Drosophila melanogaster: one gene and its partner. The protein of the gene in region 1 interacts with the protein of each later gene in a pairwise test. Each region holds a gene or a part of one and is shown in the gene's direction. Other genes may lie near its edges.

Evidence for each region.
Region 2: the proteins of kipf (region 1) and Pka-C3 interact in a two-hybrid assay, tested with the Drosophila melanogaster proteins (one large-scale study listed by BioGRID).

The regions. Positions count from the first base shown.
Region 1 is NT_033777.3:7,911,069-7,918,109, forward strand, and holds kipf (kipferl), read left to right. Parts: upstream 1-2,782; 5' UTR 2,783-3,015; coding exon 3,016-3,569; intron 3,570-3,723; coding exon 3,724-4,206; coding exon of another isoform or gene 4,207-4,210; exon of another isoform or gene 4,211-4,301; intron 4,302-4,844; coding exon 4,845-5,112; 3' UTR 5,113-5,385; downstream 5,386-7,041. Other genes in the region: Prat (phosphoribosylamidotransferase), read right to left, coding at 1-541; Rfk (riboflavin kinase), read right to left, coding at 1,420-1,796, 1,861-1,945; CG10445 (uncharacterized protein), read right to left, coding at 5,860-6,726, 6,788-7,041. UniProt on the Drosophila melanogaster protein: DNA-binding zinc finger protein that recruits chromo domain protein rhino/rhi to specific chromatin regions enriched in H3K9me2/3 histone methylation, mediating piRNA (piwi-interacting RNA) biogenesis.
Region 2 is NT_037436.4:15,950,421-15,957,185, reverse strand, and holds the start of Pka-C3 (protein kinase, cAMP-dependent, catalytic subunit 3), read left to right. Parts: upstream 1-2,388; 5' UTR 2,389-2,429; coding exon 2,430-2,535; intron 2,536-2,598; coding exon 2,599-2,661; intron 2,662-4,192; exon of another isoform or gene 4,193-5,084; intron 5,085-6,765. Other genes in the region: elgi (early girl), read right to left, coding at 1-47, 121-263, 347-436; GXIVsPLA2, read right to left, coding at 1,133-1,575, 1,639-1,798, 1,877-1,966. UniProt on the Drosophila melanogaster protein: Does not have an essential role in development.

The DNA.
Region 1 (7,041 bases):
CGCCTCTGGCCAAAACCTCCCTTCTTAGAGATTCGTTGTTAACAAGCTCACCATTGTGGGCCAGGGCCAATGCTCCATGTGTCGTATGTACCTCAAAGGGCTGACAGTTAACCACTCCGGATCCGCCAGCGGTCGAGTAGCGTGTATGACCGATGCCCAGGTTGCCACGAAGCTTCTTCATGGAGTCGTCGTTGAACAGGGTGCTGATCATACCCATGCCCTTGTGCACGTTGAAGTTCTTGGAGCACTTTCCCTCGCTGGTCGCTATGCCCGCAGACTCCTGCCCACGATGCTGCAGTGCCACCAGCCCCAAACAGATCACGTGTGCAATGTCCATTTGGGTGGGCCAATCTCCGCAAGCGATTGCCCCGAAAACGCCGCACTCGTGCGTCAAACCGGTTAGCTCCTTGCTGGCCGAGATGGATTCCGATTCCATGCTGGAGGTCACCGCCTCAGCTGGTTCCACCTGTTGTTGCTCGACCACGCGCACATGTTGTTGTTGCTTCTGCTGCGACTGTTGTTGTTGCTGTGGCGCTGACATGTTGCTGCTGAAAAATCGGTACAATATGCTGGTTGAAGGCAACTGATTGCAGGCAGTGGCGCAGTTGACGCCGATCTGATTTACCTGCTGATTTACGCAACGGTTTTATACAAGAAAAATCCTCGCACGCTCGCACGCGCAGCTCAGTTTTTCCCGAATCGGTCGAGATCAAGCCCAATATCGATCGGTCGCTGATATCGATAGTGCGGTGTGCTGATGGATCGATAGCATTCTATAGTCTGTATTTTCAAATTGGAATTTTACCTAATTTGTAATTTAGTACACAAAACAATATACACATTATAATTTGATTTTATTCGTTTATATAAAATATACGCAATCAAACTAAATAATAAGCTTTAAATTGAATTAAAGTTATTTTGCGCAATTAAAATTAATTAAAAATTGTATGTGTATGTTCGTATATATAATATTTAACAGTTTTTTTTTTAACACGTAGGCAATTAAAACCAGAAATATAAAAAATGTTTCGTGAAATAAATAAATAATAATTAACTACATATGTATAACAATTGAAAATAAGTTCACTGCAATCCCTCAATAAAAACGCCACTAAGAGATAAATATATTAGAAAAAATTCACAGTAGGAACATTTTTACAAAAACGGTTTCTTTTATACATTTGATAAGTATCAAACTGAAATGCGATTGGTTCAATTTGTTGGTGTCATTATGAGCAGTAGGAATTTAATGAAAACGTTTAGCTTAAGTACTTGATTCGATATTCGAATTCCGCTTTGCACATCGCGCAAATTGAGAGATAAGATAACTGATGGAATAACTATTTCAAAGCCGTGCGAAGAGTAGTAGTGCGTCCTTCAGCAAAGCCTCCTTTTCCAGACTGACCTACGCCATCGCTATTTCGACGAGCAGAGCTTCTCCGTAAAGAACGGAGCCTCCTTCAGCTTGGCCTTGTCCGCCTCGTCGAGGAACGCCTTGGCCTGCTCGATGTCCCCGCGGATGGCGGCAATCAGTGACTCCAGGGAGTCGAAACTGCGCTCCGGTCGCAGGTAGCCTACAATGCATATCTTGAGTGTCTGGCCGTAAAGGTCACAGTTAAAGTCGTGTAGCATGTGCGTCTCCACGCTCTTCTCCTTGTTGTTGTAGAAGGGATTCCAGCCGATGCTGAGGACCATCTTGTGCACGGGTCCATTATCCACGTTTGCCCAACCGTAGTACGCGCCAGTGGGCAGGGATTCCGGCAGCGATTTCACCACCTCCAGCGGAAAGTTAGCTAACAAGTGGTTTGGTTATCAATTAGAAATGACCTTCGCAATTCGCCTAACGTCGCCACCAACCTGTTGGGATGCCCAGCTCTTTGGAGCCGCGTCCGAAGCCCCGAACAATCTCGCCCCCAGCGAACAGAGGCAGTTGGCTCAGCATTTCCCAGATTTCCTTGCAATCTGACCCAGATCTGCTGTGCTGGCGCTTGAAATGAATATCAGGGGCCAATGGGCGGTTGATTTGCGGTATTCTGTGCAACCGCAAAGCGCTGCGGGCCAATTTATCGAGTCTGGCAAGGAGTCAAGCGGGGTTTTCTACAGAGTACGTATGTTGTGATTGCCGCGTAGCCACTCACATAACTATTCCTCGTTCCATTGATCGGCATAATATTCATAAACACACAGACAAATTTTCCGCATTCATAAAGCGAATCAGCTGTTGCCTTCGGGCTGCCAACCTGTTTCAGTTATATAGTACTGTCAATTAGCGAATTTTTTTTACTAGATATTTAAATTGTAAGAAACTGAAATGTATATATTACGCACAGTATGGTTTTAATCAATAAAGCTTGGGTTTATATTGTAATGCAGAATTAATGTAATTGGATTGATTTTAAAATTTTAGCGGCGGGTTAAACATATTTTCATCAAAAGCTTTTATTTGCTGTGTAGAGCTTCTATTGAAAATATTGAATTTTTATTTCATAAATGAATCATCAGATGTTTTGTGTAAATACTAGTACTCTATTCCCAAAATAAATAGAACACCAAATCGTAATTAAATTACAATGAAAGCCAGCTTGCCTGAAAAATATTTGTGTTATTAATACAAATATACATACATATATACATATATATACATATATACATATTTTTTCATATCATATCAATCTCAATTTTTTTTATTCTGAATAATTGTTTTCCATGTGTACATGTATTATTCAGCACTAAAAAAAATGTACAAATGATCAGTGCGACGGTTGGTTTCTTTGCAGTTCCAGTTATCATCCAATTCTCCAAAAAGTGAACACTTACACTTGTGTAGAATGAGAAATCAATTGAACTCTTTAAAAAATGTGCCGTTTATTCATATAATTTACCAGCAATAACTGTAAAACCAGCGAAACGGGATTATTAGTTTGCAAAACAAGGCCAATGTCAATGGTCAATTCATAAGATGTCGTAAACTGTTCTTTTATTAAAAAACATTGCATTTGGTTGTTGATTTAGATGATGCACAGCGCGAAGAACGTGTGCCGGACTTGTATGGACGAGACCGGCACCCTGGTAGATATATTCGCCAATGTAAGGGATCCTGTGCTCGACGAACCGGAGATGAGCCTCTCGCACATCCTGGCCAGGTGTACCGAACGTCCAGTGAAACGCGGCGACCTGCTGCCGCAGTTCATATGCGTTTCCTGCGTCCTGGCCGTGCAGAATGCTTTCCGGTTCAAGTGGCAAAGCGAGCAGAGCTACCAGCACTTCTTCCGCGTCCTAAACCAGTCGGGTGCTCCGGAAAACCAAGTGCACTTAGCTGCATGTAATGGGGATAAGAACCAGATAATAAACCAGAAAATGCAGCTCAAAAGCGATCGTCAACAGGATACGCAGCAAATGACAAAAACGCAGAAACCAGATGATGATCTTAGTCAAAAACAAACACTCCAAGCGAAGCTCCAAGAGGGAAATATTGATGGCCCACCGGAGTCCTTCACCCTGCATCCTCGTAAGCGGACTTGTCGCACAGAAGAACAGGCAGACATGATCCCAAAGGAAGCTACAAGGTAATGCAATTTGTTATAAATATCAAGCCTCAAGATAGACAAATAATTGAAAAATTATAAAAATTTGAAGGTACATCTTTGATTACTTATACTTTTATATGAATAATTAAAAATAACTTAAATAAGCTTAAATAATTATATTCCCGATTTTCAGAAGTACCAAAATGATCTGCGATGCCGATGGCTACTACAACTGCCCGCACTGTTCTAAGCGATTTTGTTCCCAGACCCAGTTAAGGACCCACATCACCGATCTGTGCAACAGGTGTCCCTACTGCCCACGCACTTATATGCAAAAATCGAACCTCAAGCGGCATTTGCGAAACCACCTAAGCAAGCCAGCGCACAAGTGTTTCCACTGCTCGAAGGCTTTCATGCGTAAAGATCACCTTAAAAGGCACCTGCGCACCCACGACAGTGACGGTCCGCTCTCCTGCAGCCAGTGCTCAGCGGTATTTATCGAACACGTTCAGCTGGAAATCCATCGCAGAGAGCACAAACAAAGGCCGGGCTCTTCAAAATCGGAGTCCACGAAGGATCCTGACTCGGACGACAGCGATCAAGCGCAGGATCTAAAACCAAAGTGGACTAAGAACACCTTCAATGGCACGTGCAGCATTCCACCTATGCTAAAGCCGTGAGTTTGGAACTCCACCAGTCTTATGTAATATAGTTATACCTGATAGTTATACTTATACCCTAGTACCGCTGAGAAATTTGTGACGAGCGAAGGTAGCGTATCTGACCCCTTTATATTCTTAATCGGAACCACTAGCCGAGTTCATAAGTTCTCATCAGTCCGTCCGTTCGTCTATTTTTCCGTCTGTCTGTCCGCAGAGATCTCTGGAATTAAAAATCTAGAAAATTAAGGTTTTGAGTTTGTTTCAGACCTTTAAAAAGCCAACAAACGGACATTAAGTTATTGTTTTCATTTATTCTTTTACTTAAATTTTTGGCGATAGCCATTTCGCCGAAGAAAATTTGAATAATCAAACTTTAACCAAACTTTAAAATTGTATACCCGTTACACGATAAGTAATAAAAAGGTTTACTAGTAGAAGGAAATAATAATCTTGCACAGGATCAATAGTCTGTCCGTCCGTCTGCGTGTCCGTAAGAACGCCGTGATCCCGTTAACTATAGGAGCTAAATCCCTAAGATTTAGTAAAATTTATAGAAATAGAAAACCCTCGCACTTTTACTAGCTGATTAACGGGTATCTGATAGTCGAGGCGAATCAACTAATATCATTTGCTTCTATTTATTTAACAACAGGAAACCGATATGCGATATTTGCCAAAAGAAGTTCAGTAGTGTCTACGCCTTGAAGCGGCATATGCTTACTCACAATCGCCAACATCATCTTAAAAAATGTACCTATTGTTCCGAGGAGTTCAAAACAGAAAAACATCTCAAAAGGCACGAGCGTGGTCACATGGGAGATCTGTTTCGTTGCGAATTTTGCTCATTGGTATTTGTAGATGTTAACTACTTGCGAAAGCACAAAAAACGCATTCACAGCAACAACGTAATAGCGATGTAGGAGAAGATCATGTCCAAACGGGTGACTACCGGTTATACTCTTGGAAAACAACCATTGAATTAAGCAGATTAATATATGTGAAAGGAATATAAACGATTTATTATTCATTATAATTATAATGACCGCAGGTCTAAACTTCTGTTGTTGATTCTTACTTTGAATTTTCTTAAATATGATTCTTTTGTTACTTTCATAAGCTCAAAATTAATATTATTTAAGTTTCGTTTTAATTATATATTTCACAGAAACTCAAATATACTGAGAATAAGCTCTAAATTTATATTATTGAAATTTCCTTTTAATTGTATATTTCACAATACATTATTATACTGAAAATAATTAAACAATCGATTGATTGCTACCACATGCTACTTAATGCCTTCTTATATATCTTTAGAGCTTCAAACTTTTTTCTTTTAGCTTTGTTGTGGTTTTGCGAGAACAAAAGGAAAAATAGACAAAAAGAATGATCCATACATCATGAAAACAACTAGTATGCTTTATTATTAGTACGTTTTGTTCTTAATATAGAAAAAAAGGGAATATATATGCTTTATGCTTTATGGACGTGCGACTATATCAAATGTAACGTATAACGTTAAAGGTAGTCTGTGTAGTATTAATACACAATTGTAAACGAATTCAATCCGTTAAAAAACACTTTGGTGAAATTGTAAAGCTTTTGTATGCGAACAATTTAAACAAAAAAAAACATAATCTTCTTAAAACTAACTAAAATACTTCGACTCACATCTCGAAGAGTTTCTTTAGCTCCGCGAGGTTGAGACCACCGCCAACACATTTGGTCACTTCTCCTCCTTCCTCTGGAAGCACAACTTTCGCAATTTCTAGCTTGCAATCTTGCAGGGACTTAATTCGTTGCTCTACAGTGTCCTGGCACATGTAGCGGTAGATGAAGGTAGGCTTAGTTTGACCATATCGATAAATGCGGTCCTGAGCCTGTCGCTCCAGCTGCGGGTTCCAGTGGAGGTCCACAATTAGCATATGATTGGCCACGTTCAGATTCAGTCCCACTCCGCCAGCGGTGAGGGAGAGTAGAAGAACGCGCTTCTCGTTATTCGCGTTAAAGTCTCGCAGTACAATCTCGCGTTCTTTGGCGGTCAGCTGGCCATTAAAGTCAAGTGTTTCCCATGATAGATCCTGCAGTCTTTTACGGACGATTGCGAGATAGCTTACCCACTGAGATGTAACAATGATTTTGTCGTTGGTGCCTGTGAGCAGTTCCTCTAGCTTATCAATGACCATCTTTAGTTTGGCAGAAGGGCGTATGAACTGAAAGATGGGATTCTGGGGATTGAGCAGTTTAAGAGCTCTGGCACTATCTAGTTGATCCTCAAAAGAACTGGCCGTTGGCAGGTCATCACCAGAATCCCATGGCACATTCTCCTCCTTAATTTCATCTTTTATCACTTCCAACTTGAAATTGCCATCTCTTCTAGTACTGTCCTCCTCGTCACAACAGTCATCTTCGCTATCGGTTTCGTCAAACTTATCCAACTCGGCAAGGACATCCATCTTGAGCTGGCCCTCCACGTCTGAGGCATCCACCTTCACGTTCTGGACGTCCTCGGCGGTCAAAGCACCACGCAGCATCTAACGAAAGATGTTGAGTATGATTATGTGGGGTGATAAAGTAAAATATGTATATATTTACCCCAATCATTAGTCCCGGATGGCAACAAAACTGTCGTAGCCGCAGCAGTAGCACCAGGATATAGATACCAAGGATCTTTTCCCCTGGATTGTAGCCAAGCGACTTAAGGAATCTTTCGTAGATCTCGTTGTACCTTTCGTCGGACATATGTCCGGCTATAAACTGTGGGGTTCTTTCCAGAGAGTAATAATTTAAATCACTGTTGCCCTTCTCGCGTTGGAGCAGGAACTGTGTAAAGATTTTTTTGGATATGG
Region 2 (6,765 bases), on another chromosome or scaffold:
GAACAGCCGTGCAGCCATAAGGCGCATTGTCACAGGTGATTGACAGTCTGGTTGGCAAGGGTCAAAGATTAGTTAGAGTCCACAAGGTTCACAGAGTAGAAGGCGTTGGGTTTTTCTCACCTGGACAGTAGGTTGCGCAATATGCGAGGCACTGCCCGCAAGTTGGCAGTAGTCAGGGAATTTCGATCCACCGGACAAGTGGGCTGGCGGGTTAGCCACTCGTTAATGCATCCGCGGCAGAAGGCGTGCTCGCACATCACGGCCTGAATCGGTAGATATGTATGATTGTTTGTATTTAAAGCATATGTATGATTCGCGGTGTGCGTTCTTTGCAAACAAAACAAACCTGCAGCGGATCCTCAAGCACTCCGGAGCAGATGGGACAGGTGAGCTCCTCGTCCACCTCCCCCTGAAAGCGATTCACATCGTAGCCCATCTTAGGTCCTCAGCACGCTGGCCATCCGCATAAAAATACTATTAATAATTCTTTTCTGCGGATTGCAAAATCTGTGTGTTTTTTTTTCGGTTCAGTCAGTGCAGTGTTGTGTAGTGTGACTGAGTAGTGTTGGAAAGCTAGGATGGCACTTCAGCTGTAATCCGCGAGAAATGGCTTCTTAAAATAACTGTTTAGCTTGAAAATATTGAGATATTTTCTGTTCCACCTTAGTTTTAAACTTAAGTTTGACTTAAAGTCAAAATTTTTGATATAATAGAATTCTTGTTTGATCTCCATTCATTTATTTGTACTATTAAATTAGCTTTGGCCAGGCAGCTTAACAAATTAAATACGTCATCGTCCTGGTTAAAATATGTTTACACACTTGTCGATCATATGATTAATAAATAATATACATATCCTGCCCAAAGGACCACGTCAGCATAAGCCACCGGTGATTAATCAGCGCACAGTTGATTTAAAAATATAGCATCTTTATAATAGGTAAAAATATCAATGTATTTAACAGTCTGGACCGTTGGCATGCCACTATTTGGTATACAATAATGAAATTCGTCAAAAAGGGAGTCCAATGGACATGGCTACCCAATTCATAGACTAACACAACACATAAAACATTTAACGCTTAATCCGATACCCCCAGGTCCCCGCACCCTCGTAGCCAGTGATCCTGTACTATATCTCGTTGCGATCCTTCCAGCCATATTTCTGGCGCTGCTGCTTCTCCCTACTATTGCTATTACCCTGCCTATTGCCATTGTAGGAGGAGCTCTTCGGCGGGGCGCAATAGCAGGATCTCTGCTGGGAGTCCAGATAGGAGCGGCATCCCAGGGTCAATGTGCCGGTGAATAGCATCTTGGCAGCCGCCTTGCAGCCCTTCATCATCAGATCGCTGGCTATGGACTTCTCGTAGCTGTCGCAGTACTTGTACAAGCACCTCTTGAAGTCCAGGTCGCACAGCTCCTTATCGCTATTGCAGGTGTCGTAGCAGATATCGTGGTCATTGCAACATGTCTCCATCTCCTTGGCCGGCAGATAGTCTGTGCTGATCCTCAGGCCCAAGGAACCACATCCATCTGCGGTGGGGGTATAGAACTTATTCTGAACCGCTCTGGGCGCTGTAAGATAAACACACATATGGATGCTGGGGAATTTACATAATGCGCAGTGCGTCACCACACCTGGTCCTCCGATATCCGGTGCGGGGCACTGGTATATGCAGTTCTCGTCCACGGCCGCATCGAAAACCTCGTGGACCGTGCGAAATTTGCGCACCAGCACTATCAGGTTCTTGAACACGTCACCAAAGATCGCCTCCGCGGCTATAATGGCATCCCTTAGCTAAATCCGGGGAGAGAAGATACAGGAGTAACAGATACTAGCTCTCACAGATTTCCTACGAGAAGCGGTGCACCTTACGTGGACTATGGTGCTGGATCCATAGCCTGAATAGGCGTAGGTTAGGAACGTAAGAAGGTATATGGCCACCTTCATCCAAGAGAACTGCATGTTCGCTGTTTAATTCGTTTTTGAAGGGTCAGCTATTTGTTGTTTGCGCGTAATAATAAACTAAACTATGCGAAAGACATTTGTAGCAGTGTGACCAGGCGTCATCGTTCAAATATACCAACCGGCTCGGAAATCATACCAAACTGCATATGAGGTTGCATACTTTTAGGCACTGTCCTGACATTTCAAAAAATCCTAATGGGAAATTTAAAACCGTTTTTAAATATTATAAATAAAATACGTTATGATTTATAAAACAAAAAAATTTATGAAAAATAAAATCTTGTTGGCTTTGCAGAGAGTATTACAATTAATGCTATACATTAATAAAAGTAAATTGAATTTCAGAACACTGGCGCCATCTGGTACAGACAACTCAAAACATTTAACTGACAATACATATACATCGATATTTCGAGGGGGGAAAATTCAAAAAATTGGGAATAAACAAAATTTTCCTTAAATGGATTTGTGGCATATATTTTTGGAACGTATTTTAGTGGCTTGCAGAGTCAGCGCAAGTGTCTTCGCAAATTTCGGCTGCGGTTTGTATTCCAGCTGGAAGCTAAGTGAGTTGTTTCCCACAATTATACTTAGTGCGGCAAGGATACTAACATTTTTATGCCTTACAGTCTGCGGCGACCATGACTCGGCTTCCGGTCTGCGGGCAGGACTTGCCACGCCCACTCAAAGAGGTGAGTGCATGCAGTGTCCTTGCACTTGACAAACAGGACTGAAGCAGCCTCAAAACGAAATAGTGAAATAGGGAAAAAAAAGTCGCGCACAGAAAACGTAAACGCAAAGCTTGCTGACATCTCGTGCCTGCCTTCGCTTAATTATAACATCAAATTGAAATGCACACGGCAATTGTATGCGGCACCTGAAATGAGACTGTGGCACGCAGGCGTCACTCGTACTCGCATTTCGTTTGCACCTGACCTTGTTGGCCTTTATTACAACGGCCAGCGAAATCAACGTGCATAAACATGCGAACGCAACACCCGAAAACCGTTAAAGAGGCGCGCTCGCTGTTTGCTTAAAACCGAAACAGAGGGCTCGTAAATACACAAAACATATTTTCTAGATTTTCTCAGCAACGAATCGGCGCTGCCGCAAAGTCTACTGAAAACAAACAAGACACTGAGGAAAAACACCCCCACCATAAAAACACACATAAACCTTTTGATTTAAAACGACTTCTGGCTTGAATCGTAGGGTTAACTTATGTACAATATGTACATCATGTATGTATTTCATATCTGAATTACATCCTGTATGCATTATTTTCCATCTCTACTATAATAACCAAAAGTCTTAATATTTGTTGAAATAACACAAACATAAATAGGTATAAGTGTTTCTTGGAATATTTAAAAATTCACTGCTGACGAAAAGTCTGCTGGTACTCCTACACTTGGGAAAATCCCACATTTATTACAATTTTCCGACTTTTCGCAGGCAATGTGTCTGTTAAAGCAGTTAAAGAAAAACCAATCCAAAAACTACCCAACATTAGGATTATATTTATTTAATAATCAGGTAAAATCGTAAGATAAAAACGTCTATAAAATCTATTATTAAACGTTGTTAAAAGATAAAAAGATATTTCATAAGAAATATAATTTTGCATTTTCTTATTTATGATAGTAATGAAAGTTGTTATTACACAAAAAAAATATGATAAGAACAGTTAAAATATGTAAATTATTGTCTTCGCAGCGACAAAATATCTACTTTTTTGTCAATGTATGTATCTTCTAGATTAATTATTATATATATATGTATGTATGTAGATTTTGGTCGCTGCAAAGACTTTCAGTTCCGTGATGGTGTTGTCAATTAGGGCGCACACCATGCTGGCCGCCTTATCGCCATCGGTGATTCCGGACCGCCTCCGCCATCCTGATGGCGATGATCCTGTTGCCGCCAAAGCGTTTAGGCCCTCAAATGGAACGGCACTCGGGACACTTGGCCAAAACCAAATATCTGCACACATGGAGAGCAAACACAAACACATCCGACTATCAAGCGAGCATCCCGAAGCCATCTCTCCCTCTCCCCTTGGCTGCCAGCAGAAGCATCATTATTACCATCGTCATCATTGCCCACTGCCCCGCCCCTCCCGACCAGGCCGCCCCCTTTTCCGAACCACCACGACTGTGCTGCCAACTGCGACGCTGACGTCGACGTCGAGAGCTGTGGCAAGCGATTCGCAGATTTTACGTTTCAGTTTCGTGCAAAACGTGGAAGCGGCTGGTCAACCCAAGAAAAACACCACAGAACACTCAGAAATCATTCGAAAGAAAATTGGAAAATTTGACATTGGTCTTCAGACTAGTCAACAAAAAAAAAAACAAAACCTATTCAAAGTTTGCAATCATCACGTTTGATTAATTGCGCTCAGTTGGACTAATTTGGCAATCTGCTGGTTCAGCGGAGGAAACTAACAAAAAACCGAAGAAAAACTGCAAGTTGCGCTGTAAAAACCGGAAATTCTAGATCTCTCGGATCTCACGATCCCAGCGTATATAAACAAAACAAAGCGGCACCTTTAGACACACAACAACAACTAAAAGAAACCGAAGAAAAACCCACGAAAAAAGTGACACAAATAAAGCAAATCGCGATCGCTGTGTCCAGTCGATCCGCAAAAAATAATACCTATGGCCCCCGTATACCTATAACACCCATAATACCTATACCTATACCCCCTCCCGCCGAGAAACGCTGAGTGTTGAGTTTATTTCTGTTTCTGTGTCGGCTTCAGCGGTTTTTTCGCCTTTTTTTCTGTTATTATTGCCGGCCAGAAGCGAAGGAAAAATCGAAATCGACGGCTAGTCGCGGAAAATCGTGCGCTCTTAAAGTAACATATTTATTTTTAACAATTTCGCAAGCGTTCAAATTTTGCTCCAGCAAAAAATCAGAATCAGAACTCACCAACCAACCAGACAATCGCAACCTGAACAACAACAATAAATATAGATCGGCTGTGGGATCGTTAAGTAGGAAAAAAAGAAAAACAAAAACCAAAAGGCTAAAAAAACCAAAAACCAAAACAAAAACCAAACCAAAAGGCAACGACGACGGCCGGCAAATTTGGATCTCAAAATTTAGCTCGGTGAGTAATCGTGGGTAGTGTAAAAAGTGGAAGCCAGCAGCCAGCAACAAATCATAAATGCTTGCTTTCCAAAATAGAAACAAAATGTGGAGATAAATTCGTTTGATGATTAAGCTTTGAGTACTATAATTAGGCGAGCCGATTTAATTAGTACAATTAGCAAATTACACCTCACATGGCGGGCTAAATCTTGATATTTGGAGTGGAAGTGGAAGTTGGAAAGTGTGGGTTTTTTAGATACTTTGAGATCTTGCTAATGCAGTCATTAAGTTCGTTAGATTCGTAGATTAATGCGTCTTTAAACATTTAAATAGAGGTGGAAGATCTAACTCGTCATAATGTTAAAATAAATATGATAAATATAAATAAGAATAAAATGCTAAAATGTCTGATTTAATGGTATATATCCCATATATCCCACATATATATAAATTAAAAAAGGCGTGTAAAATATTTTGAATTTTCTTGAACATTTCAAAGTTCAGAAAGCGTGATAAATTATTAGATTCTTCACTGACAAATGGTAAATATATAAAAAATTCCAAAAATGTATGATTTACTTATGCTTAATAATTCAAGAAAGATAATATTCGAGTTTTCCGCTTCTTTCAAAATCTGCCAGCTATTTGCATTCAGGTGACCCCATTTAAATTGCTTTTCTTCATGTCGCGCTTCAATAACTCTTCGCCAACTCAGTCAAGGACTTTCGAAATCTATTCCCCAACTTCTCCATACGCATAAATGTTTATATGTTTGCCTAGCCAATTACAGCAGTGGCAACTTAAGTGAGGAACTAGCACAAGGACAACGGAAGTACTTGCTCCATAAAAACAAATCCAAGACCATAAATCTGTATCGTCCTTATGTGAGTTTGGGAAAACCAACCAGATCCCAGTGAAAATACTCGTAAGGAAAACAAAGCGTGTCGCTGTATTTATGTTATGATTGCATTTAGCCGGCATTATTTTTGACGATTATTGCCATTTGGGTTTTATTAGCCAGAAACGCATGGGAGCGACAATCCTTATTTCGTCAACCGAAAATGGCCAATGAATTTTCGTTTTCGTAACACCCCCATCATTAATTCAAGTGAATGCACTTATTCAGTTAATTACATATCCTGGCGTATGAAAAATATTATTAATGACAACGCCTACAGCAAATTCTCTTTGACTGTTTGGAAATTCGAAAATACACCGATGACGATGATATTAATATGAGACGCTTTCTTTTTATGAAAAAGTAAGCTATCTATAAATTCGTGAACACATATTTTTAAACAAATCGCCTCGCGCTGTTCTGAATTAATTAAGCACACAATTTATGCCTTAGGTCGCCCAACGAATTAATAAATGTTGCAAACATTGCACCCCAAATTAATTTCCCCTATCAAAAGGTCAATTGGCTTGCAGTCACAAGATTAGGAAATCTTCTTTTGCTCAGCATTTTAAAATATATTCGCTGATTTTCCGAATAAATCAAGTGTCTTTATGTTAGGTGAGCTAAGGCCCATGGGAAAAGTTTCATAATTTTTTCGAGGAAATTTCCTTAAGCATAAAAGTTATACCGAATAATTTATTGAATTCAGCTCATAAATGGGATTTGTGTAGAAATATTTTGAATGGATTTTATAGGAATATAAGTAATTTCAAGTTGTTAGGGGTTCCATTCTCTGGAAAAA